7 linked regions of the Kluyveromyces lactis genome follow. The protein of the gene in region 1 purifies or fractionates together with the protein of each later gene. This does not show direct contact. Links are inferred from orthologs where the notes say so. Each region holds a gene or a part of one and is shown in the gene's direction. Other genes may lie near its edges.

Region 1 (3,911 bases):
CAGTAAGGATGGATTCTTTTTGTAAACTTCTCAAACCCGGGGTATTTGGAGAAGACACATTAATTACTAGAACATCTGCGTACTTTTGAAAGCTTTCTACACCTTTCAAATAATCTTGCACTTCATCACCGGTCTTATTCTTACCCAAATTGACCCCCAACAATTTGTCTTTGTATAAGGACAAGTTTTCAACGGAATTGTCCTTAAACATGTAACTGTTGATGAAACTGGTAATACGGGATTGTAATGTGTTGACAACGGTGTCATGGCCGGATGAATTGAAACCGTATCTGTTGATAACAGCATCATCCAAAGGTAATCTAAAGAATCTAGGTCTTGGGTTTCCTGGTTGTGGTAATGGAGTCACAGAACCAATCTCTATATAACCGAATCCTCCGGAAAGTATACCGTCGATGGCATCACCATTTTTATCCAAACCGGCAGCACAACCAATTGGATTGGTCAATTTCTTACCAAAAATGTTCACATTCAATACCTTATCATCGTTATCGAACCATAATCTTGGAGCCAACCCATTCTTCAAGAACCAGATACCTAATTTATGCCCATCTTCAGCATCTGGCGTTACAAGTCTCAACATCGGGCACAAGACGTACTCATGGAAAGCAGACCTCGAATTGGAGAAATAGAATCCCGCAAATGAACCAATGGCTATCCCAACAGTGTACTTCAAAAGCTTAGGGCCAGAAATGCCTGCTTTCAATGGGACCATGCCATTCTTGACAAAGAACTGCGATTGATTTAGCGTAAAAAGTTTCTTGCTCAAAATACGTGGGAACCCACTATTCATAGTTGATAAAAGCAAAATACGCGGTATTCGGAGTGACCTCTACTTGCCTATTCCAATCTTGTATAACAAGAGAAAAGAACAACGATACACGATCTAGCTCTCTATTCATTGCGGGAGGACCAAAACATTAGTTCAAGTTCTTCATTTTCATTTCATTTTTCAGTTAAGACTCGACGGAGTGTTTTCCGGAAACACATCTGTGAGGAACAAAAGTATGTGACTAGCAGATGCCTGGTGCAATTAGCTCAGAGGTCACCATTGCATATTAATTTGTACTTTGATTTAATTTCTTTTAGATACCTATCATATGTCTAGATGCATAGAAGGTAGTATACTACTTTACACCGGTACTACAGGATGCAGATCAAGTGAAAAATACTCAGGGAACTACTCTTAACTACTCTTTCAAGAAGAAATGATTGCTATTTTGGTTAGAAATCGTTTGGACTCATTGGGTTTGGTATTTATAACTGAATTTCCCCACGTTTTGGGCATGTACTATGCGCCGATTGATCTATTTATCAGTCATATACAATTCTTACTTGGTAATGTCTATCATTCTTCAGCTCAACTTAAGGATTTTTTCTTTTTTTCTCGAGTATCCAATATCGAAAATTTTAAGAAACGATGAGATGAGATGAGCTTCACAATATAAGGTTCTGCAAGTTTACTGCTACATCTTCTGATATCAGGTATCACTTCACGAGAAGCCGAATCAATATTCAATAATGGTTGCTAAGAAAGGTAGTAAGTCACAGTATAGTGACCTACAACGGAGAGACAATCAGGACAAATTTGAGAGATCGAATAACGATGATGATGCCAACGGGTCTCACAAGATGCAGAAGAAAACCAAGGATAAGAAGTTAAAGGCAGGATTGAAGCGTATTGATCAGAAGTATAAGGAAGCGGTACTCTCTACTGCTGCTACAGAATATCTTTTACCCGAAGAGCATGGTTATTTAGAAGCAGAAGATGAGATGGAAAAGACGTTCAAGTTCACACAGGCTGAAATCAAACACCATGTTGACGCCTCCATGGCCAATAAGGCATTGGACTTGAAATTAAACGATTTTGGTCCGTACCGTGTAAATTATTCCAGAAATGGTACGCATATGCTTATTGCAGGTCGGAAGGGCCATGTAGCATCTCTTGATTGGAGGAAAGGTGAACTTCGTGGTGAGCTAAATCTCGGGGAGACAGTGCAAGCAGCAACATATTTGCAAAATGAACAGTTCTTTGCAGTAGCACAAAAAAAATACACGTTCATTTACGATCATGAAGGTGTAGAGCTGCATCGTTTAAAGCAGCACATAGAGGTCAAACATTTAGAATATTTACCATATCATTATCTCTTGGCAACAGCAGGACAAACAGGTTTTTTGAAATATCAAGATGTTTCGACAGGTCAACTAGTATCAGAGATCAGAACTAAACTAGGTCCTACTACAGCGATGGCTCAGAACCCTTGGAATGCAGTAATGCATTTGGGACATAGCAACGGCACAGTCACTCTATGGTCACCATCAATGCCATCACCACTGGTAAGACTATTATCATCTAGAGGATCAATAACAGGAATTGCTGTAGATAGACAAGGTTATTATATGGCCACCACTGGTTCCGATAAATCTTTAAAGATTTGGGATATCAGAAACTTTAAAGAAGTACATAGTATTGAGAACATGCCTACGCCCGGTACTAACGTTGCAATTTCAGATACAGGTCTACTTGCAGTATCAAGAGGGCCTCATGTAACAATTTGGAAAGATACGTTGAAAAGTGGGAAAGCTGCTAGACCGTATTTCACCTCTAGCGGTTACAAAGATAGAAATACTCCGTATATGTCTCATTTATTCGCTGGAAATAAAATAGAGAACTTCCAGTTTGCGCCATTCGAAGATTTGCTAGGTGTTGGACATCAAAAGGGTATAACCAATTTGATTATTCCAGGCGCAGGGGAAGCCAACTACGACGCACTAGAGGCCAACCCATACGAAACAAGCAAACAGAGACAGGAACAAGAAGTGAGATCATTATTGAATAAGTTACCTGCTGATTCTATAACATTAAATCCAAACACAATAGGTACAGTAGATTCTCGTGCTTCTCAAGTCAGATTAAATGCAAAGGATCTTGCAATTATCTCGAATGCAGAGCAAGAAAAATCCAAACTAAACAAAGACATTCCTGATGCCAGACCTGATGTTAAAGGTAAGAACTCCGGATTACGTGCGTTCCTACGAAAGAAAACTCGTAATGTTGTGGATGAAAGGAAGTTAAGGGTACAAAGACAACTAGAGAAGGAAAAGTCTAGCCGCCAAAGAAAAGAAAAAATTAAGAAGGGTGAACTTGCTGATGATCACAAAGACCTTGTTGATGAAGCCTTATCAAGATTTTCTTGAATCATCAAGTAGTTATCAATATGTATACTTACATGAACACTTATATAATCTGTTATTATAGCCGGCTTAGTATCGACTGTTGCAAAAACATGTTTGAATTATTTGCATATAGATACGACTTAGTTTGAGGTGATTATTTACTGTACATTATGAAGGATGACCGCTATTGCTAGGACCTAATTTCTCGATTAAAATTCAAGAGAATCCTCGACTTTAAATGAAGATGGTAATGGGGCATATATATCTTTTGTTTGTCTTACGGTCTTGATTAATTCTAGTGGTTCTTCAGGTGTCTTATCCTCAACGATAATGACACCTGAGTTTCCTCTGAATTTGCGAACAGGTACAAAACGGCTATCTTTCGCAAAAGATATGAATTTGAGTTGCTGCGGAAGCACACGGGTGAGGTTTTCAACATCATAGCTCGTTGTCGTGTATTTGATCTTAGCTTCTTCAGTATTCTTGGCCTCTTCCTTCTTTTTTTCCTCCAGTTCCACCTCTTGCTTTTCTTCATTTACTTTTTCTGCATCCTTTTCTTTAACCTTTTCATGTTCTCCTTTTTTACCTTTCTTAGCTCTTGCCTTGGCCTTGGCGGTAGTTGACAAGACGGCAGCTGCAAACTTTTCTATATTTTTGTCCACCTCTTCTTCGTACATGCGAGGATAGGTGAAAATTCCCTCCTTCGTATGACATTT
Region 2 (4,062 bases), on another chromosome or scaffold:
CTTCGATGATTCGGGCAATGCCGTTGGTCCAGAAGCAGATGCAATCATTTTGAAACAAGTTGAGACGAAGGCTGGAAAAGTGATCACTGTCATCGCTGGTCAATCGACCGCACCTCAGACAATTTTCAACTCAATCAACGTGCTAATCGGTATCGGACTATTAGCATTACCATTGGGTCTTAGATATGCAGGATGGGTATTAGGTGTTCCAATCTTATTCATTTTTGCATTTGCTACTTTTTGTAGCGCTCAGTTAATTTCAAGATGTTTGGATGCAGATCCATCCATTTCGACTTACGGAGATTTGGCATATGCAGCTTTTGGTCCAAAAGGTCGTGCATTGATCTCGTTCCTATTTGCTATGGATTTATTAGCATGTGGTGTAGCCTTGATCATTTTGTTCGGTGATTCATTGAACGCGTTGTTCCCAGAATATTCGGTCAACTTCTTCAAATTCGTCGCTTTTTTTGCAGTTACTCCTCCAATATTTTTGCCATTAAGTGTTTTATCAAATATCTCTTTGTTGGGTATTATCTCGACTATTGGAACTGCATTGTTAGTAGTTTTCTGTGGGTTGCTAAAACAATATTCACCAGGGTCATTATTGCAACCAGAAGCCACATCGATGTGGCCCAATTCATTCAAGGAGTTTTGTCTTTCCTTAGGGTTATTGAGTGCATGCTGGGGAGGTCACGCAGTCTTTCCCAACTTAAAGAGTGATATGAGGCATCCGGAGAAGTTTACTCGTTGTTTGAAGACCACTTATAGCATCACCATTGTTACTGATATCGGAATTGCTGTCGTTGGATTTTTAATGTTCGGTAATCTTGTTATGAATGAAGTGACAAGAAGTGTGTTATTGACTCCAGGATACCCGCCTTTTGTTTATGGCCTAATTTCAACTCTTCTTTCACTGATTCCACTTGCCAAAACACCACTTAATGCAAGACCGATTGTCTCCATCTTTGATTCAATGTTTAACGTAGTGCACATCGATGAAACTAAACCAGCATCGAAGGTTTTTTTCGCAAAGGCAACCAGAATATTTAACAGAATCATGGTGAATGTTATGTTCGTGATTATTGCTATTTTATTCCCTGAATTTGACAAAATAATTGCATTCTTGGGTGCTGCACTTTGTTTCATGATTTGTTTCATTCTGCCATGTTTGTTCTACAAAAGAATTTGCTACAAAACCATTAAATCTTGGGAATTGATAGCGTGTAATATTACGATATTAATTAGTGCAGTATTATCCACTCTTGGAGTATACGCCTCCTTCACCTCATGAATTACCTACAAATGCTGTTGAATTTGCCAGCACCTCATTCTTGTATATGCATCTACGTGTCTTTATGCAAAATTTTAGCACCCAAACTAAGGGAATCACACTTCATATAATGACTTTTCACCCATATGTACTTCTGTCTAGTATTCATCACCCAACCAATGCCTCACAACTGTGTCTATTATCTCTCTTCTTACCCGCATTGGCGACAGTTCCCATCATTTTTTTCTTTTTCAAATTTTTGGATACCTGAAAAATTGATGAAAACTCATCTCATCGCATCACTCAGCATGTACGAAATATGCGTCTATAGTAGCAGCTTGATCGTATCGATACATCCACTACAGCTACACCAGTAAATAGGTAACGTTTCACTGACCCACACATAACACAACATGAGTCAGTTTTTGGAAATTTTGAAAACTAATCCTGTTGGACTTCTTTCCCAGGATGCTCTGGAGTCCAAGGAACCACTATCGGCAGTGAAGACTTACTTTGACGAAGTCATCAATCTGAATAAAAACAATGGAAATTCAAAGACAACATTAGATGAGATAGTGGTTGATGGGCTAGATGCTAACCAGGTATGGTGGCAGTCAAAAATCATTTTAGATAATGTTCAAGGTGATATCATGGAAAAAATCGCCGAACTGAAGGTTGATAATGAGAATGATATGAGCGAGGAAAGCAGCGGAGACGAAGATGATGCCTCTAATGTTGAAAATTCCAATGAAATGTCTGCAGACGAAGCTCCAGTTTCTGAAGAGTCTGCTATTGAAGAGGAGGAGGAAGAAGCAGAAAATGAAGAGCTCGTTTTAGATGAAGAACAACAGTTCTCAGAACCAGAACCTTTAGAATTACATGAGAAGGAAGAAGATAAATTGGAAAACGAAAGTGATTCGGAACCTGATGATCAATTTGTAGAAGCACAAGAAAGTCCACAAGCGATCGAAGACAAGTTTGGTGTAAACGATCAATTTTTCAATCTAGATGAATTCAATAGACAAACACTTGAGGCTGAGAATAGAAGCCAAGATGCAGATGAAGAAGATGAGGATGACGAAGAAGTTGATTATTTCGCAGATGTTCCATCGGAGGAAGATGAAGAAGCTCTATATTACGACGATTTCTTTGATAAGCCATCTAATAAAAAATCTTCCCAGGACAGGCGGCCAGGACCTTCAAAGAAAGCAGAGGCCGAAGAGGATGAATCCTTTGACGAAAGCGAGTATGATGATGCAATGGAGGAAGCTAAGTTAGATCTTTTTGCTGACGAAGACGATGATTTTCAGGGATCAGATGAAGAAACTGCTGAACAACCATTATCTACCTTTGAACGTCAACAACTTGAGCTAAAAAGACAAATAGAATCCCTCGAAAAGGAAGCTGTTGCTGAGAAGAAATGGGCGTTAAAAGGTGAAGTAAAAGCTCGCGATAGGCCAGAAGATGCCTTGTTAACGGAAGATCTTGAGTTCGAAAGAACTGCCAAACCTGTGCCAGTTATAACAGCTGAGGTAACAGAAACTCTCGAGAATATGATCCGTAGAAGGATCAAGGAAGAAGATTTTAACGATCTACAGAGGAGGGTTATCAGCGATATTTCAGGCTACAATAATAAACCAAGATTCGAACTAAGTGATGTAAAGTCATCAAAATCACTAGCTGAAATTTATGAAGATGATTTCAAAGGTGTTACCGAGGATACTGAAATATCAGAAGAATTACAGAAAAGTCACGATGAAATTTCAGAGCTATATAAAGATTTGGTTTACAAACTAGATGCATTATCGTCAGCCCACTTCATACCTAAGCCGATAAAGAAAGATCTTGAAGTAAGAGTGCAAACCGCCGCTATTTCTATGGAAGATGCACAACCACTAACAATGTCAAGTGGTTCCACATTAGCTCCTCAGGAAATCTACAAAGTTGGTAAATCAGAGAACTCTAATGAAATAACTTTGAAGAATGGTGTGGTGATGTCCAGAGATGAACTGTCCAGAGAGGATAAAAACAGACTCCGTAGAGCTGCTAAGAGAAAGAGATCGAAGCTATCTGCGAAAAGAGCCGAACAACCTAGAAAGAAGAGTAAGACGGATGATGTTCTTAATACCTTGACTAAATCCAAGAACATAACCGTTATCGATAAAAAGGGTGCCAAAACTGATGTTAAGGGTAATATAAAGAAGGATAATGCATCTGGTAACATCAATTTCAAGTTATAGACACTGTTACAGTAAGTATATATTACTATAATTAATGCAATTGCATTGAAATGAAGGTGGTAAATAAGAGAATTCTTAATTATCTTTTTATCCCCCAAACTATTTATGTTCTTGAGATTTATGGAATAATGATCTTACACCTTTTACAACAGAAGGACTGTAATGCTTGACAAGAAGGCTATTTTCCCATATAGTTGCTGCTTCTGCATTACTTCTACTTGGTAAGTCTGTGTCGATGCGGAACTCCCCATTTCCAATTCTATCGTCTGTAGAGTATAAACCCAGTACTTCTGGATATTTGGTAGTTAGTTTATCCAAAAACTTCAGCAGTGCAATTGATGTTTTTTCTGGAGTGTGCAGCAAAGCCATGTAAATTCTCTTTGTGAACGCAGCAGCTCTTTGTTTAGTGCCAGATTTTGATCTGAAAAAGACATGATCAAGGGCTTTCAACAATAACTCTGCTTTTGTTGATACGTTAACTGATGGTTTGACGAGTTCATTATTCAAGGGGTCGGCCAACCTTAGCGATTTGTGTGAGAATTCAATATCAGC
Region 3 (4,349 bases), on another chromosome or scaffold:
ATAGATGGGCAAATATTCATCTTTCACACACCATGGGGCACCCATCTTAGTTGAAGCACGACGCAACGTTATCTTACAGAAACATTTAATCAAATGCTTAGTGAAACATGATCTATCACGATAAATCTGATCCTCATCGGCAACGATTGAAGTACTACCTTGTGCTTCCTGTAACATATATTTTGCATGGGCAGGAACCAATTCTTGCCTTGTATCTCTATCTATAACTGCATTAAACTGAGCCTTTTCTTTGATAATGTAAATTTTTTGATGCTGTGATCCATGTGAGTGCTGATGATGTTTTTCAGCATCGTCATGTGAGGAATCTTGCTTACTTTTCCGTAGGTATACCGTTTCTCCAGGGAAATAGTCGTTTTTAAATCTTGCATATACCTGTTCGACGAGCATATCTAGCCTTCTAATCTCGTTGAAATGGATGAATTTTGCAACAGGTTCACGTAATTTTAAAGGGAACATTTTCTCAACGTATTGGAACTGCTCTTCTTCACTGTTCAACGCTTCAAAAAAAGTTAAACATGATGTACCAGTGATCTCACAGGTGAAATAATGTCGCCTATAAAAATCCAATCGTTGCAAAAACTCTGCATAAGTCAAAAACCATTCCCCTGTCTCTTGAATGTACCATATTTTCCTATTGATATTTGACGGTAATGGCCTAGCATCTGGCAACGTTATCGTTTTCCTTTTATACAAAACCATTGCTCACACTGTGTATTCTATCCAAAAAATAAAAAGCTCAACAAGGAAACACACACCACTGAAGACTCTGTTATCCTAGCTTTCCTGCTTCAACTCAGTAAAAATTACACGCACACAGATTGGAAAGAATAAGAACAGTATGTGTTTTCTATGACCAAAAGATGTTGTCTCGTATCCACAACAATATAACTGGTGTAGAACGTACAGTTCTTGTTGTGAAATCCAAATCACCACACAAACGAACTAAAGATAAAAAACACAACAACTTTTAGGGAAACGAATGAAACAAACGACTTTTATTCGGAATCCAACCGTTGATTCATTGACCTTTGTTCTATCCTGTTCTGTTTGTGCATTTGATTGGATTTCGATTTCATTTTGATGTTCGAATTTCGATGAACGCTTTTTTTTCCATATGCCCTTGGGCCCTAGTTACTACGGCAGAGACATGTAGGAATATCTACAAAACTGACAGAATACCTTAAATTCTTAAAAATCAGATCACGTGCAGAATCACGTGATTAGATATCGACAAGGTTCAGATCATTTCTTTTTCTTACCCTGCATGAAAAATTGCATGAAGAAGCTCAACCATCTCATCTCATCTCATCGGTGAACATAAAAGATTCTAGTATCTTGAATTGAATCAAAAGGGTCACTTTAGGCCAGTTAGTTCGAATCACATTGCCTGAATACATCTTAAGACTCTCAAGCTTCAGCAATGGAACAATCGAATAAAGAACATAGGAAGCGGAAGGAGAAGGCTGGTGCCAAGAAGAAGTTACATTCTCAGGGCCACAATGCTAAGGCCTTTGCTGTCTCCGCTCCGGGGAAAATGGCTAAGCAGATGCAACGTACGGGTGATAAGAATGAGAAGAAGTTGCATGTTCCGATGGTGGATCGTACCCCAGATGATGATCCTCCTCCGATCATTATTGCTGTTGTTGGTCCTCCAGGTACCGGTAAGACTACTTTGATCAAATCGTTAGTGAGAAGGTTGACAAAGACCACTTTATCCGAAATTAACGGTCCTATTACTGTTGTTTCTGGTAAGCGTAGAAGGCTGACTTTTATCGAATGTCCTGCGGATGATTTGAATTCCATGATCGATATTTCAAAAGTGGCCGATTTGGTGCTTTTGATGATGGATGGTAATTTCGGGTTTGAAATGGAGACCATGGAATTCTTGAATTTGGCTCAACATCATGGTATGCCTCGTGTACTAGGTGTCGCTACACATTTGGATCTTTTCAAATCCCAGTCAACATTGCGTGCCTCTAAGAAATCTTTGAAACATAGGTTCTGGACCGAAGTGTATCAGGGTGCCAAGCTTTTCTACCTTTCTGGTGTTATTAACGGTCGTTATCCAGATAGAGAGATTTTGAACTTGTCAAGGTTTATAAGTGTTATGAAGTTCAGACCTTTGCAATGGAGAAACGAACATCCTTATTTATTGGCCGATAGAATATCCGATTTAACTCATCCAGAACTCTTACAATCGAAGGGTATGCATATAGATCGTAAAGTCGCCATCTATGGTTATTTACACGGTACTCCGTTACCTTCGACTCCAGGCTACAGGGTCCATATCGCCGGTGTAGGTGACTACCAGATCGATCACGTTGAGAAATTGCCTGATCCTTGTCCGACACCTTATTACCAACAGAAATTAGATGAATTTGAACGTGAACGTGCTAAGGAAGAAGGTTCCACATCAGCAACGACTGTAAGAAGACGTAAAAGATTGGATGATAAACAAAAGCTGATCTATGCTCCAATGTCTGACGTTGGTGGTTTACTTATGGATAAGGATGCCGTGTTCATTGATGTTGGCGGTAAGACAGGTCCAAACTCAATGACTGCAGAGGAAAAAGATGAAAGTGACAAGATCGTGTCCAACCTACAGGCTACATCTCGTTCCATTGATGAAAAATTCGAGAATGTTGGATTGCAGCTTTTCTCAAATAGTACTGAGTTACATGCTATTGAAGATCAGGATGAAGAAGTTGAAGAAGACACCGAAGACGAGGATGATGTTGATAGAGGAAACGTTGGTAGATCTTCCTTAAGAAAGGCAAGAGTATACGGCAAATCCCTTCAGGAATCTAACGCAGATCTCGATAATTTATCAAGTGACAACGAAAACTATAATGAAGATGATGACGAAGATGAAGCACATCGCACTAAATTAGTTGAAATTGATTTTGATGACGAAAAACCTGAAAACATGGCCTTTGAGACAGATTCAGAATTGGATGCATCTGATTCTGAAGGTTGGGAAAGAACCACAGCTGGTAAATTGAATGGTACAAAGAATAAAAGAAGAAAGTGGGATATCAGCAAACTTATCTACATGGACAACATTGCTCCAGCTGATGCAATCAAAAGATGGAACGGCGAGGCCGACGAAACTGAAGTTGAAGAAGATCTAGAAGACGATGAAGATACTGAATTCTTCACCCAAAAGACAAATACTACACCGAATAAGGCAGTAACTTACCACGATGATCTTGAAAGATTTATTCCTTATTTTGATACATTCAATGACCTTGTTGAAAGATGGTCAACTGCCGATTCAATCAAAGACAGATTTGTTGGAAAGCCATCCTTAAACACCAAGTCTTCTGATGATGTAAAGGATGAAGACGATGATGAAGATGAAGTATACGGTGATTTTGAGGACTTAGAAGCTGAGCCTGAAAACACAGATGAGAAGGAGGAGAATTCTGCTGCAGGAGATGAAGAATCTGATAGCAACGAATCGTTCGCTGATTTCGAAGAAGAAGAAAAGAAGGATTTGACCCAGGATGAAGAGCGTGAATTGAATGCCGCAAAAAAAGAGAAATTAAGGTTACAATTCGAAATGGAAGAAGGAGACAACTTTGGAGAAGACCCTGAAAATGAATACGATACCTGGTACGAATTACAGAAGGCTAAGATTGCTAAACAATTAGAAATCAATAAAGCCGAACTGGAATCTATGACTCCTGAACAAAGGCAACAAATCGAAGGTATGAAAGCTGGGTCTTATGTTCGTATTGTCTTCGATAAGGTTCCTATGGAATTCATCGAAAATTTCAACCCAAAGTATCCAGTAATTATGGGAGGTCTTCTTCCCACAGAATTGAAGTTCGGAATTATTAATGCAAGAGTCAGAAGACATCGTTGGCACAAAAAGATTCTCAAGACAAATGATCCTTTAGTTTTATCTCTTGGTTGGAGACGTTTCCAAACTCTACCAATATACACCACTAGTGACTCTAGAACCAGGACTAGAATGTTGAAGTATACTCCAGAACATGCTTATTGTACAGCTTCTTTCTATGGTCCCTTGTGCTCGCCAAATACCACTTTCTGTGGTGTTCAAATAGTTGCTAACAGTGATACAACTGGAAGTTTCAGAATAGCTGCGACTGGTATTGTAGAGGAGATCGATGCAAGCGTAGAAATTGTGAAGAAATTAAAGCTTGTTGGTTATCCTTACAAAATCTTCAAGAACACTGCCTTCATAAAGGATATGTTCTCTAGCGCTATGGAAGTTGCACGGTTCGAAGGTGCCCAAATCAAGACTGTTTCCGGTATTCGTGGTGAAATCAAGCGTGCTCTATCAAAACCAGAAGGCCATTTCA
Region 4 (4,326 bases), on another chromosome or scaffold:
CGGGAAATTCTCTTCTATGATGGTAACCAGATTACAGTTCAAACAATGGAAGAAGAAACATTTTAATAAGAAAACAGTTTCGACGGTAAAAGTTTCCCAGACTTCTTTTGGGAATTTGACTTTTTCTATAACATCGGGCCTCTGTTCAAATAGTGCATAGAGTGCTTGTTCTGCATATGTAGAGTTCACAACGTCAATGTTCTCCAATAAATCGATGATGTCACCGTCCAGGATGTTCAACCAGGTGAAGGCAACTAATTTTTTACAAGAATTTCTAACCGTTTCATCTCTATCTTCAAACCCCCAGGTCATCAGTTTCTCTAAAATATCAGAATCCACCTCATCGAACGTATGCTTCCCCAAACTCTTTAGTACTCTTGTAAACACCAATCTTCTATTGATGAAATTAACATCTCGTACCCGTTCCAAGATAACATTCTGGGTCGCTTTCGAACGTACAATATTCAACATTGCTGCCCTCCGAACTTCTGGACTTGGATCATTCCTAATGATATGCATTAAACTCTGTGTAGCTTCATCGAGTTGGAAATTTACTCCGGTTTCTGATTCATTAATCATCGATACGTTATCGTTTTGAAATTTTGTCAAACAAAATATCGCCTGTATCCTAACATGAGGTTCCTTGTCATACACCCTATGCTTCAAAACCCACATAATCAACTCGTACAATTCCTCATCAATTTCTCCCATATTATCCATAGTTGCGGCCAAAAGTTGCATTACTCTGTATCGTACGTTTTTATTTTTCGATTCCACTCCTCGAAGCAGATTCCTCACAAATCCATCAATAAATCCTCCGAAATGTACTTCCAAATTCCTCACATTTTGCTCATTACCATCTTCGGTTCTCATCTTGTTAAGATTCGACTCTATATTTGCGATGAACCCTGAAATCAACCGAACAATGCGATCCCCCACGATTTCCTGTTTCTTCAGCGGCAAGATTTTGACAGTCATTTTGATAAACCAATAATGAAACACATCTGATATCTCTTGCTCCACACATTTCAAATAAATCCTGTATAAGACAGCTACATGACGTCTGTGACCAGCATAACTCTTCTGCGCCACCTGGAAAACCTCCGCTATAGAATTCAGAACACGACGATTTGTAGGAGATTCTCCATCCTGAACATCCATATCAAACAATTGCACCCTTTTGGTCAATAATACCACGAGTATACACCAGGGAAAGGCTGCTATGAGGTTGCCGCCGATGTTTCTTCCACTTTCCTTTTCCTCTTTGTTTATTAGTTTGTTTATGTGAAGAGAAGATCCAATTGTAAACAAATCTCGTTTTCCCAATAGATCTAATATATCACGTGATATGATCATACTGTACGGTGTTGAAGCTAAACTAGTTTCTTTTTGAAAAATTTCAGCGTTAAGAGCACACAAGCTTAGAACAGAAGCTCATCTCATCGGATAACAAAGTCGTATATTTCTATCTAGTCAGTGAAGTTTTTTGATTGACATCAGCCTACAGTTTGTCAATCTTTTGTTTCATTCTAATACATTAGCTTTTGTTCTCTGATACAGGTTTAAGGTCCTCAATTTATAGAACACATTTGATCATGACTGATACTGGGAAGAAACAGGTAGTGCATCGATCCAGGTTTGTGCAGTTTACACCTGGTAATATAACGGCTCTTGCATTTTCACACAAAAGTACTGATAAAGCGGCACCGCAAGAGCTAAGACTGGCTATTGGTAGATCCAATGGTAATATTGAGATCTGGAATCCAAGAGATGATTGGGTACAAGAGTTCGTGATCTTGGGAGGTGAAGGAAGATCCATTGAAGGTCTTTCCTGGTGCAGTATTCGTGGAGAGCCTTTGAGACTATTTTCGATCGGTGGCTCCACTGTAGTTACAGAATGGGATTTGACAACCGGGTTGCCGTTAGTAAATTACGATTGTAACTCTGGTGTGATTTGGTCCATTGCAATGAGCAACGATATGAATAAGCTAGCGGTCGGATGTGATAACGGCAGTGTAGTACTTATTAACATCAGTGGTGGTAAAGGTGTTCTTGAGCATGAGAGCATACTTACAAGGCAAGAATCTCGTGTCTTATCGTTGACATGGACAGCCAATGATGAATCTTTGGTCGCTGGTTGTTCTGATGGAAGGATTAGAATATGGTATACTAAGGAGCAAGACGAAAACAAGGGAAGACTATTACATACTATGAAAGTGGATAAATCGAAGAAAGAATCTACACTCGTATGGTCTGTGTTGTATCTAGCTAAACAGAACCAAATTGTGTCTGGTGATTCTACTGGGTCGGTCAAATTCTGGGACTTAAACTACGCAACATTGACTCAATCTTTCAAGGTTCATGATGCCGATGTTCTATGTCTGGCTACTGATCTGGATAATTCACAATTGTTCACTAGTGGTGTTGATAGAAAGATTTTCCAATTCTCTTACATCGATACAGGAAAGAGCATGAAATGGATCAGTACTTCAAACAGATTATTCCATTCCAATGATGTTAGATCTATGTCCTCTTATCAATGTATGGGATCCGACTTCCTAGTGTCTGGTGGTATTGAAAAGTCTCTTGTCATGTGCTCAATGTCCTCTTTCGCTGAAGGAAATTATAGAAAGATGCCACTAGTTACCCCATTCCATAAGAGCATCCTGGTCAACAAACAACAAAGACTATTGGTGATGTGGCAGGATAATATCGTGAAGATATGGTATATTGGCGAAGACGTCAATGAGCCTAAGAACTACAAATTAGTTAGTAAATTGGTTTTGAAGGATGAACAAAACATCCAAACCTGTGCACTATCAACTGACGGACAAGTTTTATTAGTGGGAAGACTAAATACTACCAAAGTTTTCCATTTACAACCAACAGACAACAAATTGAAAGTAACAAAGTTGGACAATGAGTTTTTGTTGAGAACTGGTTGCAAATTTGCTAAGTTCATTGATGATTCTAGGTTAATAATGTGTTCACAATCTGATGAAATAGTTAGAATTGACCTTGAAGAGGATGACGACGAAAAAACCGTAACTATTGAGTTACCTGAAGCGAACTCAACGAAATCCAGCAATAAACTATCATATTTGAATGCAGTGAACCATTTAGATGCAAATGAACGTTACGCTGTTGCGTCTAGAGGTACCGGTGCTCTAGACTTAATAGATTTGACAACAAACAGTAGTAAAGCTTTAATTCGCATGAACAACTTCATCACTGCACTGTGCATCACACCAAGAGAGACTGTAGTAGTAGTGACATCAGAAAATAAAATATACGAGTTCAATTTGGAATCCGAGAAGGATCAACTACTCACTGACTGGTTCAAAGCCAATCATGAAAACCTCCCAAGGCAATTTACTTCCTTGAAAGAGAGATGCACAGGAATATTCTTAGATGAAATGGATGAGCATAAGGTATGGTTCTGGGGATCTAACTGGTTGGTTAACATCAACATGTCATTAGACTTGCCAGTTAGCAAAAGAAAGAAGCAAAAGAAGCGTGACCGTGACGGATTAACTATTTCCACTGACGGTCTACAGGCAGACGTCGATGAGGATGATGAAGACGATGAAGAACTCGAAGTTAAGGAAGATTATCTCTTAAAAACTCAGAGAGCGCAAGATGTCACCTCCAAGAAGAGATCTGATAAGGCGTTTTTCTATACCGATAAGTATAGACCTCTATTATTCGCTGGAAAGATCGCAAGTGACCAATTAATCATTGTGGAAAGACCAAACTTCTTGATCTCCCAACCTCCTGCATTTGAATTAGAAAAGTTAGTATTCTAATTTATAATTTCTGTACATTATTATAAACTCGATCTTCATCGCGAAATTGATTTTTAACATAGGGTCATCATTCCGCCGCATATCATCTGTGTAGTGTTCTTTCTGCTACCTTAATACCAATGAATGTCAAGAGCGAACTGCAAGCGAACATTTTATCAGACCAGACGTCGATTACAACATCAGGAATAGTGAATTTCTCACCCAAGAGTTGATTGACCTGTTTTGAGACATCATATGGTAAATTGGAGCGAATCATCAAGATAGTGGCAAGGATGTACACACCTGTCAACTCACACACAGCGAGGTTTTTGATGATCGAAGGGGGTTTCTTGGTATAGAATGCATCCTTATTGCTCGTAGGAAGCTCAGAGCCATTGGTACTCTGCATTGCAGATAACGCTAATAATTGTAGTTTGACAGGCAGTAATGTCAAAAGATAAGAGATTGTCGTAGTGACAGTAGAAAGAGAGCACACGAACAACGAGATGGACAATATCAAGGATATCTGTTTGATTAACGA
Region 5 (4,330 bases), on another chromosome or scaffold:
TTGGATTCGTTTCTCACGTTCGATGCATCTCTTATAATCTGGTGCTTCGGCAAATTTGCAGGTGCAATAACATGTATTGGAGGAGCAAATTGAGGGCCTTTATCTCGCTTTGCAGTGTGTTGAACTAGGTTAATCAATTTATCATCTTCCAAACACTTGGCGGCTAATTTGGTAGCGAAGTATTTGATCTCCACACCGTTATCTAAATGATACGCTTGTTTCATGAACTCGATATGATCAGTCCCCGGTGTGTCAAATGAAGTTACCACGGTGAAATAATTTCTTTTATAACCAATCCAATCGTCATCTATGAAATCAAACCCTCGATCAATCCGAGGCTCCAATTTGATTTCTTGAATCTGTCCAAAATCGTTCAATATCTTGTGATTGGGCACCACTGGCGTAAAGCCTGGGCCTATTTTGAACTGCAATGTTGACCTTGGAGCAATACGAACTTTTCTCTTGTCAAAATGACTACTTAATGACCCGTCAGCGTTCCTAAAAGTTTTGATCACGTCCCCGTCAGCATTATCAAGTGTTTCCAAAAATTCGTTCTCATCTATATTGATATTCTCATCGTTCAGATGGTCCAAATCCTCCATCATAGCAAGTTTGATCACATAAAACTATACTCTGTTCCTATTAAAAGAAAATATAGTTAGCTCTCACTCTCCTCCTGGCTATTGCTATGGAATAACCGCCGAGCTTACCTGAATGACCACGAAAAAATAAAACCAAAATAAAACCTAGGAATCGTACGTTCCGTATAAGAGATAACCACAACTGCGCTTGTTCAGGTAAAGAAACAACCTTATAATCGAACCTCGTTCTGATGTCAGTTCTTAACCTCTTATCTTATTCATCGGATCTATTTCATAAGAATATTGCCCTTATTCCTTGTGACACAAAAATACTGGTATTTATATAATGTTAGTTTTTCCCTTTTCGTCAGTCATGAAGAAAACTTTAATTAATACCCATGAAAACTACTACTGAAGTTTAAATATGAATTTAAAATATTAGTCGACATCACATAATGGTGCATTATGCACACGTAGTCATTTCTTGAAATTAGCCGCCGAAATTACACTGCGCATGAAATTCATGCGGGTAACAGTATATTTTCATCAAATAATTCCGGGTAAGTAGTATCTTTTCTTTTCTCTGCCTAATTTTTTTTTTTTTTTTTCATTGTCTTTTTACTATTTCATCGTATTAGGTAGGAATTTTATTTCGAGATGAGATGAGATCAAATGAGATGAGGTGGTTTGCTGAGAAGCTATCTGAGTATTACGAGACGTTTATTTCTCCCCAAAATACCTGATTACTGTACTTCGTTACTACAAAAAAAATCATTAAAAACACTAACTCTTCCCAACGGTCGAACTTCCAGCGAAACGTAACTGTCATTGTTTGTTGTTAAAGAGTGTGTTCTTAAAACTTTAAACCAGAAGTTAGATTACGATGGGTAAAAAAGCTATTGATTCTCGTATCCCAGCTCTCATCAGAAATGGTGTTCAAACAAATCAGAGATCATTTTTCGTTATCGTTGGTGACAATGCTCGTAACCAGCTACCGAACTTGCACTATTTAATGATGAGTGCTGACCTCAAAATGAATAAATCCGTGTTATGGACGTATAAGAAGAAACTCTTGGGTTTCACTTCACACAGGAAGAAGAGAGAAGCAAAGATTAAGAAAGAGATCAAGAGAGGTACCAGAGAGATAAATGAACAAGATCCTTTTGAAACTTTCATCTCTAACCAAAACATTCGATACTGTTATTATAAGGAAACTGAAAAAATTTTGGGTAACACTTATGGTATGTGTATCCTACAAGATTTTGAAGCTTTGACTCCAAATTTGCTAGCAAGAACCATCGAAACCGTTGAAGGTGGTGGTATCATTGTTATCATGTTAAAGTCCATTTCCTCTCTAAAACAGTTATACACTATGACTATGGATATCCACTCTCGTTATAGAACGGAAGCTCATGACGATGTCGTGGCAAGATTCAACGAAAGATTTATCTTGTCCTTGGGTTCGAATGAAAACTGTTTGGTAGTAGATAGTGAGTTAAACGTTTTACCTATATCTGGAGGAAAAAACGTAAAACCACTTCCACCAAAGGATGATGAAGAAATTTCACCAAAAAATCAAGAACTAAAAGAATTGAAAGTGTCTTTAGAAGATGTTCAGCCTGCGGGATCATTAGTTGCTCTTTCAAAAACGGTTAATCAAGCTCATGCAATCTTGACCTTCATTGATGCCATTTCAGAGAAAACTTTAAATTCAACTGTAGCATTGACGGCAGGTAGAGGTAGAGGTAAATCAGCTGCTCTAGGTATTTCTATTGCTGCTGCTGTATCCCATGGTTACTCCAATATCTTTGTAACATCTCCTTCCCCTGAGAATTTGAAGACTTTATTTGAGTTTATTTTCAAAGGATTTGACGCTCTAGGCTATCAGGAGCACATTGATTATGATATCATTCAGTCCACCAATCCAAGCTTCAACAAAGCCATAGTCAGAGTAGACATCAAGAGAGAACATAGACAGACCATTCAATATATTATTCCAAATGATTCTCATGTGTTGGGACAGGCAGAACTTGTTGTCATTGATGAAGCTGCCGCAATTCCACTACCACTTGTAAAGAAGCTTTTGGGTCCGTACTTAGTGTTTATGGCATCCACTATTAACGGTTATGAAGGTACCGGTAGATCTTTGTCTTTGAAATTGATTCAACAGCTAAGAACTCAATCCAACGGTACTGGCCGTGAAGATTCCGAAACAGCACTTGTTTCCAGAGATTCAAAGAAACAAGAAGTTCAAACAAGTGGCCGTTCTTTGAGAGAAGTTGTCTTAGATGAACCTATCAGATACGCTCCTGGTGACCCAGTTGAAAAATGGTTGAATAAATTACTTTGTTTGGACGTTCAACTAATCAAAAATCCAAGATTTGCTGCTAGAGGCACACCTCATCCATCTCAATGTAATTTATTCATCGTCAATAGAGATACTCTATTTTCTTATCATCCTGTTTCTGAAAATTTTCTGGAGAAGATGATGGCTCTTTATGTCGCATCGCATTACAAGAATTCTCCTAACGACTTGCAATTAATGAGTGATGCACCTGCTCATCAACTATTCGTTTTATTGCCTCCCATCGATCCAAAAGATGGCGGCAGAATACCTGATCCCTTAGTGGTCATCCAGGTCGCATTGGAAGGTGAGATCTCGAAGGATTCTGTCAGAAATTCTTTGGCAAGAGGTCAAAGAGCTGGTGGTGACTTAATTCCATGGCTAATCTCACAGCAATTTCAAGATGAAGAATTTGCCGGTTTGAGTGGTGCCCGTGTTGTTAGGATTGCAACCAATCCGGAATACGCCTCTATGGGTTATGGGTCTAGGGCTCTGGAGTTATTGAAAGATCATTTCGAAGGTAAATTCACCGATTTGAATGAAGATACGGTACAAAAGGACTACACAATCAAGAGAGTCGATGACAGGGATTTGAAGAAAGCAGACCTCTTGAAAGATGAAATCAAATTAAGGGATGCAAAGACGTTGCCACCATTGCTTCTGAAACTCTCAGAACAAACCCCTCACTTTTTGCATTACTTAGGTGTTTCATATGGTTTAACAAAATCTTTACATAAGTTCTGGAAAAACAACGGATTTGTCCCAGTTTACTTACGTCAAACAGCGAATGATTTGACTGGTGAACATACATGTGTTATGGTTAAAGTTCTTGAAGGTCGTGAATCAAAATGGCTGGCAGAATTTGCCAAAGATTTCCATAAAAGATTCTTGTCTTTATTATCGTTCGACTTTAAGAAATTCACTGCCATCGAAGCGTTAAATGTCATTGAATCTGCTAAGAAGGGTGAAACACTAGACCAAGACTCGGAGGGCAGATCGTTCCAGAATAAGGTTTTAACAAGGGACCAATTGGATTCCATCTTTTCTCCATTCGATCTAAAGAGGTTAGAAAGCTATGCTAACAACTTACTGGATTATCATGTCATTGTTGATCTTCTACCAATGATGGCATTGCTATACTTTAGTGGAAAGCTGGGTGACGGTGTATCATTATCAAGCGTACAATCGTGTATACTACTTGCAATTGGTTTGCAACACAAGGGCATTGATGACATAACGAAAGAGTTGAACTTACCATCCAATCAAACTATTGCCATGTTCTCCAAGATTATCAGGAAATTCACCAATTTCTTCAGGGAAGTTTTAAGCGAGTCTATTGAAAAAACCTTACCTCAAATCAAGGACCAAGAAATTGCCGAAATGAATGGCGAAGAAGTGTTGTCTT
Region 6 (3,631 bases), on another chromosome or scaffold:
CCATGCGACAGCAAACAAACCACCGCCAATTGGAGCCTTTTCAGACTCAATGTATTTGATAAATTCACCAGTCTTACCATCAAAGCAACATATCTTACGATCGCTACCGACAGACACAGCATATTTCCCTGCACCTGGAGAGAACTTGACGTCTCTAACGAATTTACCTTGGCCGTGATGCGTTCTATCACTGCTTGCAAACTTGAAAGGTGGACCCTGGTAAAACACAACAGAACCATCATCACTGACACTGAAAGCTCTCATTGGTCTGCTTTGCTTGAAATGAACTGCATTGACTCTTTGAGAGTGACCCGAGACTTCACCTAACGAGTTGCCCGAGTCCCAAGAGACAAACGCACCAAACCTATCACGACCTTCACCAACAACAGCCAATCTTTTACCCTCAAAATCCCAGGATATATCAGCGACAGGACCAGCGAGCACATGTAGTTCCGACTTAACGTTGTACTCAATTTCTCCAGACTTATCGTCCTGATTCCAAGACCAAACGATAACTCTACCGGAATCATCTCCTGAAGCAACATATTGAGACCCCTGGATAGGAGAAAATTTTACAACAGTGACATTACTGGTACCATGGCCATTGAATTGAACGACATGTTCACCATCTAAAGATCTAATGATGGCAGATCTACCGCTACCATAAGCTAAACTGTCAGTCTTTGGATCATATGATAAATGTGTCGTAAAGTTTCTCTTTGTAGAAGGGAGAGGTGCAAAAACCTTTGCTAAATTAATCGAAACCATATTATCGCGAGATACTAGATCAATTGACTTTTGGAACACTCTGTAAACGCACCAGAAAGACCTCTTCCTGACTCAAACGTGTCCTGTTCTCATGGTTTAGTTTCTTGATAAACTGGTGAGTATAAATAAATTCCATACATATGGAATGTAAATAGACGAAATAATAACTACTGGGATGCAGAAATACAAAGAAAAGATATCCTAAATACCAGTTAGTATAATGAAAGTGGTATTGCTGAATACCTGGGAATCAAGAAAATCTGGGAAACCAGGTTAAAAGCAGATAAAGGGCCTTAAAGGCCCTTTATCTGCTTGTAAAGTACAGTGAACGGTTATTCTTCTCTGAAAAATCACAATCAACGAGATTCTTCGAGTCTTCAAAGAAAAGAAACCAGATTTTGGAAAAAAAAAATGATTGAAGCCTTAGCTCATCGCATGGTTGATAAAATAGATTTCCCTGTAATTTGCGAGTTATATCAGTCGGTTTGGTATCGTCAGACTACTGTTAAGTGATAGAGGTGATTCAGGCGATCAGATTGGTAGAAATATTGTGAAGAAAATGTCGTCTGTGAGACCTAGAGTGACGCCGGTAAAGGCTCCTGTGTTACCAAAGCAGACCACCCCAGAGCAGAGGTACTGGAGGTCTTATTCATCTACTCAGCTTGTTAAAGAGCACAATGCAGTGACTCATATTGCCTTCAATCCCCAGCATCCACATGATTTTGCAGTTACCTCTTCTACTAGGGTACAGGTCTTCTCGTCAAGGACAAGACAAGTGATCAAGACGTTTTCTAGGTTTAAAGATGTGGTGCATTCGGCCACTTTCCGTCAAGACGGTAAACTTTTAGTAGCAGGTGACGCTACTGGGTTAGTGTCCGTTTATGATAGTTATAATCCACGTACTTTGTTGCTTTCTATACAAGCTTCGTCGCATCCTACGCATGTGACGAAGTTTCACGATCAGGATAACAAGACTTTGGTGACGGCAAACGACGATAGAGTAGTGAGACTATGGGATGTTTCTCATGCTTATGAACCCACTTTACAGTTAACTGGAGCATCTGATTATGTTAGATCAGTCTGCTTTGTGCCAAATGCTCCACATATGGTCGCTACAGGGTCGTACGATGGAGTAGTTAGATTGTACGATATTAGAACGAAATCAGATAAACCACAGACAACTTTGGATCACGGTCTTCCTGTGGAAGATATCACAGCCATATCTCCTACTCAGCTTGCATCGTGTGGTGGTAACGGGTTCAAAGTATGGGACTTGACTAGCGATAGAGCCCTTTGTGAACGTCAAAATTTCGCAAAGACGGTCACCTGTTTGAATTACACAAATATGGGAGAAGAATCACCAATGAGTTCCGTACTAGTTGCATCCTCGCTTGATGGTCATGTTAAGATCTTTTCCCCGTTGGAGAACTTCCAATTCAAGTTTGGCTGGAAGTTTAGCAACGCTGTGCTAAGTTGTGCAGTCTCACCAGGCGATGCGCAAGGTAATAAACATTTCGTTGCAGGTTTATCCTCAGGAATTCTAGCCATCAAGACGAAGAAGAAGTCCAAAAAGATTAACCTCGCTGATGTCTCTGATTTGGAGGATTTACCATTACAACAGCAAGAGAAGTCTGCGAAATCCAACAATTTCCAGAGAATGATGAGAGGGTCCGAATACAGAGGTGATCAAGAGCATATTATACACAACGATAAGCCAAATCCTCAGCGTAAGTTGCGTCAATTCGAAAGGCATATCAACCAATTCAAATGGTCTGACGCATTAGATTCTGCATTTATCCCCGGTATGGCTAAAGAATTAACTTTAACGGTATTACAAGAACTAAGGAAAAGAGGTAAAATCAAGGTTGCATTATACGGTAGAGACGAAAGTTCTCTAGAACCACTACTCAACTGGTGCTTGAAGGGAATAGAAGATGTTAGAAGTGCACCAATTGTTGCAGACTGGATTGCGGTTGTAATTGAACTCTACGGTAGTGTACTGGAGAAGTCCCCAGTACTTGAAGAGATGGTAATCACTCTAAAGAAAAGAGTAAGGGAAGAGATCCGCAAAGCAAAAGAAGCACAAAAGATAGAGGGTATGCTCCAATTGTTAACAAACTGATAAAATCCTTTCTACACTGATCTATAACAAAAAGGAATGCGTGTAAAAGATTATATTTATTTACATTTATAGTACATAGACTGCAACAACTGTATCATCCCGTTCGTTACGTCTGTTTCTTTGTTTTTAACGTTCTGACTTTGAAGAAATCACCTTCTTCCTCTCCATTTACTGGCTCTGTTTCTTCCTGCCTTTGTTGGAAGATTCAAACGCTTGAAGTTGTTGCTAACAAGGTTGTATTTACTCTTACGTTGCTTCTTCTTTACGGGTGGATTGGATTGTTGTTCAGAGTCAGACTCACTTTCTTCCACTTCTTTACCCAGCATTTTATTGTACTCACGTTCCTTCAACTTTGCTAGCTGTTCATGAACATTTTTGTCTGGAATGTTGGTCGACTTCTCGTTTAATGCTGCTGGTCTCATCTTCGCTTTTGTTCTTTTCTTTATGGTTTTAACTTTCCGCACATAATTGCTCTCAGTTTCATTGCCGACAGTTCCCTCGTCCCCCTCTTCAATTATATCCATATGTTCTTCCTGCATCAGCTTTTCCATAAGCGTTCTAATCGCAGTGAATTCGCTGAAATCTTCTGGGTTAGATTCGAATTCGTCTTTTATAATGGCATGTTCCTTCGCTAATTGGGACAGTGTCTTCACCGGCCTTTTAATCAGCGGCGATGGGCTGAAGGGAGAACTTTTCAAATCCAGGGTTCTACCAAGCGTCTTTGGTGTTTCTGACAACTGC
Region 7 (4,330 bases), on another chromosome or scaffold:
TAATGAAAATCAGGGCATTGAGTGCCCAGTATTCGACATTACAACAGAAATATCAAGAGGACAGAAGAAAGTTTTACATTGAGTGTTCTCAAACTAATGCTGACTTAAGAAGATATCTACAAGCACAGCAACAAAAAGCTAATGCTGCTAAGTCACAGGGTACAGTAGCTGCAAATGCAGGTACACCGGGACCTCAGGCTGGTGTTTCTACTCCAGGAACCAACACCGGTACACCAATTCCAACAAGTTTGAATAAAGCTTCGAGTGGTAGTCCTCCAAATGCTATGGCGCAAAGACAAAATATACCAATTCAAAAGACCGCTGCAACTACTGCAACTGCAACAAACGCAAACCCGAGCTCAGCAGCTGCCGCACCAAATAACACAGCTTCTGACAAATCGTCCCCAATGCAGGTGACAACGGTGAATGCAGCTGCAAATCAAACAGCACAAAGCAATACAAGACCACCAATCTTCAAGCAACCAAACCCATCGATACCAATAAGTGAAAATGTCACCGCATCCCCAACAGTTTCAGTGTCATACAGAAGCAACAGACCTACGATAACAGGCGGTAGTGGTATGAACGCGCCAGCGCTAACTACACCTGTTATGACCAAACTACCGCCATATGAGGTCGATACTGAGCGTGTGATGTCTAAAAGAAAGCTCCGTGAACTCGTCAAAACGGTGGGTATAGACGAAGGTGATGGTGAAACCACCATTGATGGTGATGTGGAAGAGCTATTACTCGATCTAGCAGACGATTTCATTACTAATGTTACGAATTTCGCCTGTAAATTGGCAAAACATAGAAAATCCGATTCACTCGACGTAAGAGACATCCAAATGCATCTGGAACGTAATTGGAATATCAGAATCCCAGGGTTTGCCAACGATGAAATCCGTAGCACCAAGAAATGGAATCCAACCCCTTCGTACAATCAAATGGTAAATGCAATCAATAACAATAAAACTGCACGTACACATCCCGAAAAGAAGTGAAATGGATAAATTACCACTGTTTAAACAAGTTCATTCATTCAAACAGACTTAATTTGATGCATATATTATACATCATATATCATATATCTATTAATGTAACAATTCCTCAAAATATTGAAAATGGAGAAGTGGATGAGTACCTACAACAATGCATAATCAAGTCCAGGGAAACTGATTCTTAATACTCTTTGTCCTATTCTGCCTGTCTCATATATGTATAAACCACCCTTTTCTTTTTCATGGCTTCAAGTTGTATTTTTCAAAATTTTCCAAAACGTTAAAAACTATGGAAGGTCATCTCATCTCATCGCATAATGCTGTTCAAGAACAAGTATAACAAAACTTATATACTATAACCCTGTGTAAGATATCAGTTATTGCTACTATTATCCGCAGTGTGGAGTTTAAATTGATACACAATGGTTAAATCGTATCAACGTTTTGAACAAAGTGGTCTTTTTGGGTTAATTTCTACTTCAAATCAGTCGATCTATCTTCCAGCTACGAACTCAACGTCTGGCAAGCTAATTACAGGTGCTCTGGAGAATATTCAAATATGGACATTGAAAACTAATGAGGTGGAAGTACTTACTGATGGGCTACCTATCGGTGCAGTAGAGACTAATATTTCTAAACCTTCAGTAGTAACTGCGATGTGTTTCCACAAGGAAACAGAGTTGTTATGTGTTGGTTACGAAGATGGTGTGATTAAAGTGTGGGATCTGCTTTCTAAAAGTGTATTGATGCAGTTTAACGGACACAAGAGTGGTGTTACCGTGTTGAGATTGGATTCCGAGGGTACTAGATTAGTTTCTGGTAGTAAAGACAGTGATTTGATCATTTGGGATTTAGTCGGTGAAGTTGGTTTGATGAAACTCAGATCACATAAAGATGCCATTACTGGTATCTGGATAGACCATAATATGGACTGGCTTATTAGTGTGGCCAAGGATGGTCTTATCAAGGTATGGGATCTTAAGGCTGGTGGTCAGTGTGTTGAGACGCATATGGCGCATACTGGTCAATGTTGGTCGATGGCAATCGATGAGGAAGTCATAATAACCACCTCGATGGATTCACAGGCCAAGATATGGGAATTAGATTTAGAGAAGAGTAATGGAGAAAAAATTTCAGAACGTGGTACTTTCGAGACCGAAAGTAAGCAAAGAGGTGTTTCCACTGAATTTATCACAGCACCAAACGGTACCAGGTTTTTCTATATCCAGAATAACGACAAGACAATAGAAATCTTCCGTATCAGACCGGAAGAAGAGATCAGGAAAGCTCTTAATAGACGTGAAAAGAGGCTAAGGGATAAGGGGGCCTCTGAAGAGGAAATTCAGGAGGCGGTTAACCCAAATGATATCAGCGTTTTATTCCATTCGTTCTCCACGGTACGCTCAAGTTACAAAATTAAATCCTCCAACTGGATTCAAGCAAGTAATAGCAAGTTGGAAGTGGTTCTCACAACTTCTAACAATACCATTGAAAGTTATCAAATTCCATACAGTAAAAGAGATGCAGAACCACCAGTGAGAAGGTATAACGTCGAATTACAAGGTCATAGAACTGATATCAGATCTATGGACATCAGTGATGATGGGAAACTATTGAGTACAGCATCTAACGGAGAATTGAAAGTATGGAATCTAACTACAAAGAAATGTATCCGTACCTTTTCCTGTGGTTATGCGTTGTGTTCCCAGATGCTACCTGGTGGATTATTGGTGGTTGTGGGTACAAGACAAGGTGAACTTCAGCTATTTGATTTGGCTAGTTCTACATTACTATCTACTACAGAAGCACATACGGCAGCAATCTGGTCATTAGATTTGACTAGCAATGGTAAAAGACTGGTCACTGGTTCAGCGGACAAAAGTTGTAAATTTTGGGATTTCGAGGTTGTTGAACAATTGGTCCCAGGCACAAAGGATAAATACATTCCTCAACTTAAATTAGTCCACGATACGACTTTGGAACTAACTGATGATATTTTGGCTGTTAAGATATCATCAGAAGATAGATACTTAGCCGTTTCATTACTAGACAATACTGTGAAAGTATTCTTTTTCGATTCTTTGAAGTTCTACTTAAGTCTTTATGGTCACAAACTACCTGTACTTTCTATTGATTTTTCTGTAGATTCCAAGATGTTAATTACTTCATCAGCAGATAAGAACATCAAGATCTGGGGTGTTGACTTTGGTGACTGTCACAAGTCCATATTTGCTCATCAAGATTCTATCATGTCAGTAAGATTCGAAGCCGACACTCATAATTTCTTCAGTTGTGGTAAGGATGGTGCTGTCAAGAGATGGGATGGTGACAAATTTGACTGTATTCAAAAGCTCAATGGTCACCAAAGTGAAGTGTGGTGTATTGCAGTGTCACCAGATGGAAGAACCGTTGTGTCTACTTCTCATGATCATAGTATTAGAGTATGGCAAGAAACTGACGATCAGGTATTCTTAGAAGAAGAGAAAGAAAGAGAGATGGAAGAAGAGTATGAAGAAACACTATTGAAATCATTAGAAGGTGGATCAGGAGACGATCAGTTCCTTAGGGACAAAAACAGTGGAGATGACGGAGTGATTGATGAGGTTAGTGGTGTTAATAAGCAAACTCTTGAGTCTTTAAAAGCAGGTGAAAAGTTAATGGAAGCTCTAGACTTAGGTGTAGCCGAGATCGAATCCTGGGAAAATTACGAAAAATCTCTTAAGTCATGGAAAAAGAAGAAAAGTGGTGAACCACCAATGAAACCTCAAAGTAACGCCATCTTAATTGCCATGAAAATAAAACCGGAAAAATACATCATGGACACACTAGGGAAAATTAAACCATCACAACTCGAAGATTCTTTACTTGTGCTCCCATTCTCATATGTTATCAAATTCTTCAAATTCTTTGATGTGATAATGAAGCAAAAAGATTTAGTGTTGTTACATCTAAGTCTCATTTGTAAAATCCTATTCTTTATAGTTCGCACGAACAATAAGGAATTAGTCGCTCAAAAGAATGAAGAATTGAAACAGAGAATTGAAAGAGTGAAGACCAACATCAGAACAATGTTGCAAAAAAATGCAGACGATCTTGGGTTTAACATCGCCGGTCTTAACTTCATCAAACAGCAATGGAACTTAAGACATAACTTGGAGTTCACTGATGACTATTCGCAGTTAGAGCATGAGAAAAAGGTTGCAAAGAAGAGAGTTTTCGAAACTGTTCGCTAGATTTACGTCCATAAATTAAAACCGTATGCATCTTATTAAATATATAACCTGTCTCAAGGTATGTAAATATCAAGTTATAGATAATTCATCGACATC

What was found.
Region 2: the proteins of UTP7 (region 1) and MPP10 purify together in Saccharomyces cerevisiae (affinity purification with mass spectrometry; 7 studies listed by BioGRID, with this or other methods). This does not show direct contact. The link is inferred for Kluyveromyces lactis from reciprocal best matches to the Saccharomyces cerevisiae genes UTP7 and MPP10.
Region 3: the proteins of UTP7 (region 1) and BMS1 purify together in Saccharomyces cerevisiae (affinity purification with mass spectrometry; 5 studies listed by BioGRID). This does not show direct contact. The link is inferred for Kluyveromyces lactis from reciprocal best matches to the Saccharomyces cerevisiae genes UTP7 and BMS1.
Region 4: the proteins of UTP7 (region 1) and UTP4 purify together in Saccharomyces cerevisiae (affinity purification with mass spectrometry; 5 studies listed by BioGRID). This does not show direct contact. The link is inferred for Kluyveromyces lactis from reciprocal best matches to the Saccharomyces cerevisiae genes UTP7 and UTP4.
Region 5: the proteins of UTP7 (region 1) and KRE33 purify together in Saccharomyces cerevisiae (affinity purification with mass spectrometry; 6 studies listed by BioGRID). This does not show direct contact. The link is inferred for Kluyveromyces lactis from reciprocal best matches to the Saccharomyces cerevisiae genes UTP7 and KRE33.
Region 6: the proteins of UTP7 (region 1) and UTP15 purify together in Saccharomyces cerevisiae (affinity purification with mass spectrometry; 4 studies listed by BioGRID). This does not show direct contact. The link is inferred for Kluyveromyces lactis from reciprocal best matches to the Saccharomyces cerevisiae genes UTP7 and UTP15.
Region 7: the proteins of UTP7 (region 1) and DIP2 purify together in Saccharomyces cerevisiae (affinity purification with mass spectrometry; 4 studies listed by BioGRID). This does not show direct contact. The link is inferred for Kluyveromyces lactis from reciprocal best matches to the Saccharomyces cerevisiae genes UTP7 and DIP2.

What each region holds. Positions count from the first base shown.
Region 1 is NC_006039.1:803,973-807,883, forward strand, and holds UTP7 (Utp7p), read left to right. Parts: upstream 1-1,539; coding exon 1,540-3,216; downstream 3,217-3,911. Other genes in the region: KLLA0_C09240g (dihydroorotate dehydrogenase 2), read right to left, coding at 1-811; proteasome regulatory particle base subunit RPN2, read right to left, coding at 3,405-3,911. UniProt on the Saccharomyces cerevisiae protein: Involved in nucleolar processing of pre-18S ribosomal RNA.
Region 2 is NC_006040.1:821,747-825,808, reverse strand, and holds MPP10 (rRNA-processing protein MPP10), read left to right. Parts: upstream 1-1,683; coding exon 1,684-3,510; downstream 3,511-4,062. Other genes in the region: AVT1 (Avt1p), read left to right, coding at 1-1,291; NOC3 (Noc3p), read right to left, coding at 3,610-4,062. UniProt on the Saccharomyces cerevisiae protein: Involved in nucleolar processing of pre-18S ribosomal RNA. Required for the early cleavages at sites A0, A1 and A2 during 18S ribosomal pre-RNA processing.
Region 3 is NC_006038.1:180,089-184,437, reverse strand, and holds the start of BMS1 (GTPase BMS1), read left to right. Parts: upstream 1-1,441; coding exon 1,442-4,349. Other genes in the region: KLLA0_B02090g (uncharacterized protein), read right to left, coding at 1-720. UniProt on the Saccharomyces cerevisiae protein: GTPase required for synthesis of 40S ribosomal subunits and for processing the 35S pre-rRNA at sites A0, A1, and A2.
Region 4 is NC_006040.1:1,131,547-1,135,872, reverse strand, and holds UTP4 (small subunit rRNA maturation protein UTP4), read left to right. Parts: upstream 1-1,595; coding exon 1,596-3,806; downstream 3,807-4,326. Other genes in the region: condensin subunit YCG1, read right to left, coding at 1-1,356; KLLA0_D13200g (uncharacterized protein), read right to left, coding at 3,889-4,326. UniProt on the Saccharomyces cerevisiae protein: Involved in nucleolar processing of pre-18S ribosomal RNA. Required for optimal pre-ribosomal RNA transcription by RNA polymerase I together with a subset of U3 proteins required for transcription (t-UTPs).
Region 5 is NC_006042.1:2,272,011-2,276,340, reverse strand, and holds the start of KRE33 (ribosome biosynthesis protein KRE33), read left to right. Parts: upstream 1-1,464; coding exon 1,465-4,330. Other genes in the region: transcription factor NDT80, read right to left, coding at 1-605. UniProt on the Saccharomyces cerevisiae protein: RNA cytidine acetyltransferase with specificity toward both 18S rRNA and tRNAs. Catalyzes the formation of N(4)-acetylcytidine (ac4C) at positions 1280 and 1773 in 18S rRNA.
Region 6 is NC_006042.1:1,275,205-1,278,835, forward strand, and holds UTP15 (snoRNA-binding rRNA-processing protein UTP15), read left to right. Parts: upstream 1-1,327; coding exon 1,328-2,890; downstream 2,891-3,631. Other genes in the region: AIP1 (Aip1p), read right to left, coding at 1-768; SLD2 (Sld2p), read right to left, coding at 3,040-3,631. UniProt on the Saccharomyces cerevisiae protein: Involved in nucleolar processing of pre-18S ribosomal RNA. Required for optimal pre-ribosomal RNA transcription by RNA polymerase I together with a subset of U3 proteins required for transcription (t-UTPs).
Region 7 is NC_006040.1:1,377,461-1,381,790, forward strand, and holds DIP2 (snoRNA-binding rRNA-processing protein DIP2), read left to right. Parts: upstream 1-1,423; coding exon 1,424-4,234; downstream 4,235-4,330. Other genes in the region: TAF12 (Taf12p), read left to right, coding at 1-1,004. UniProt on the Saccharomyces cerevisiae protein: Involved in nucleolar processing of pre-18S ribosomal RNA.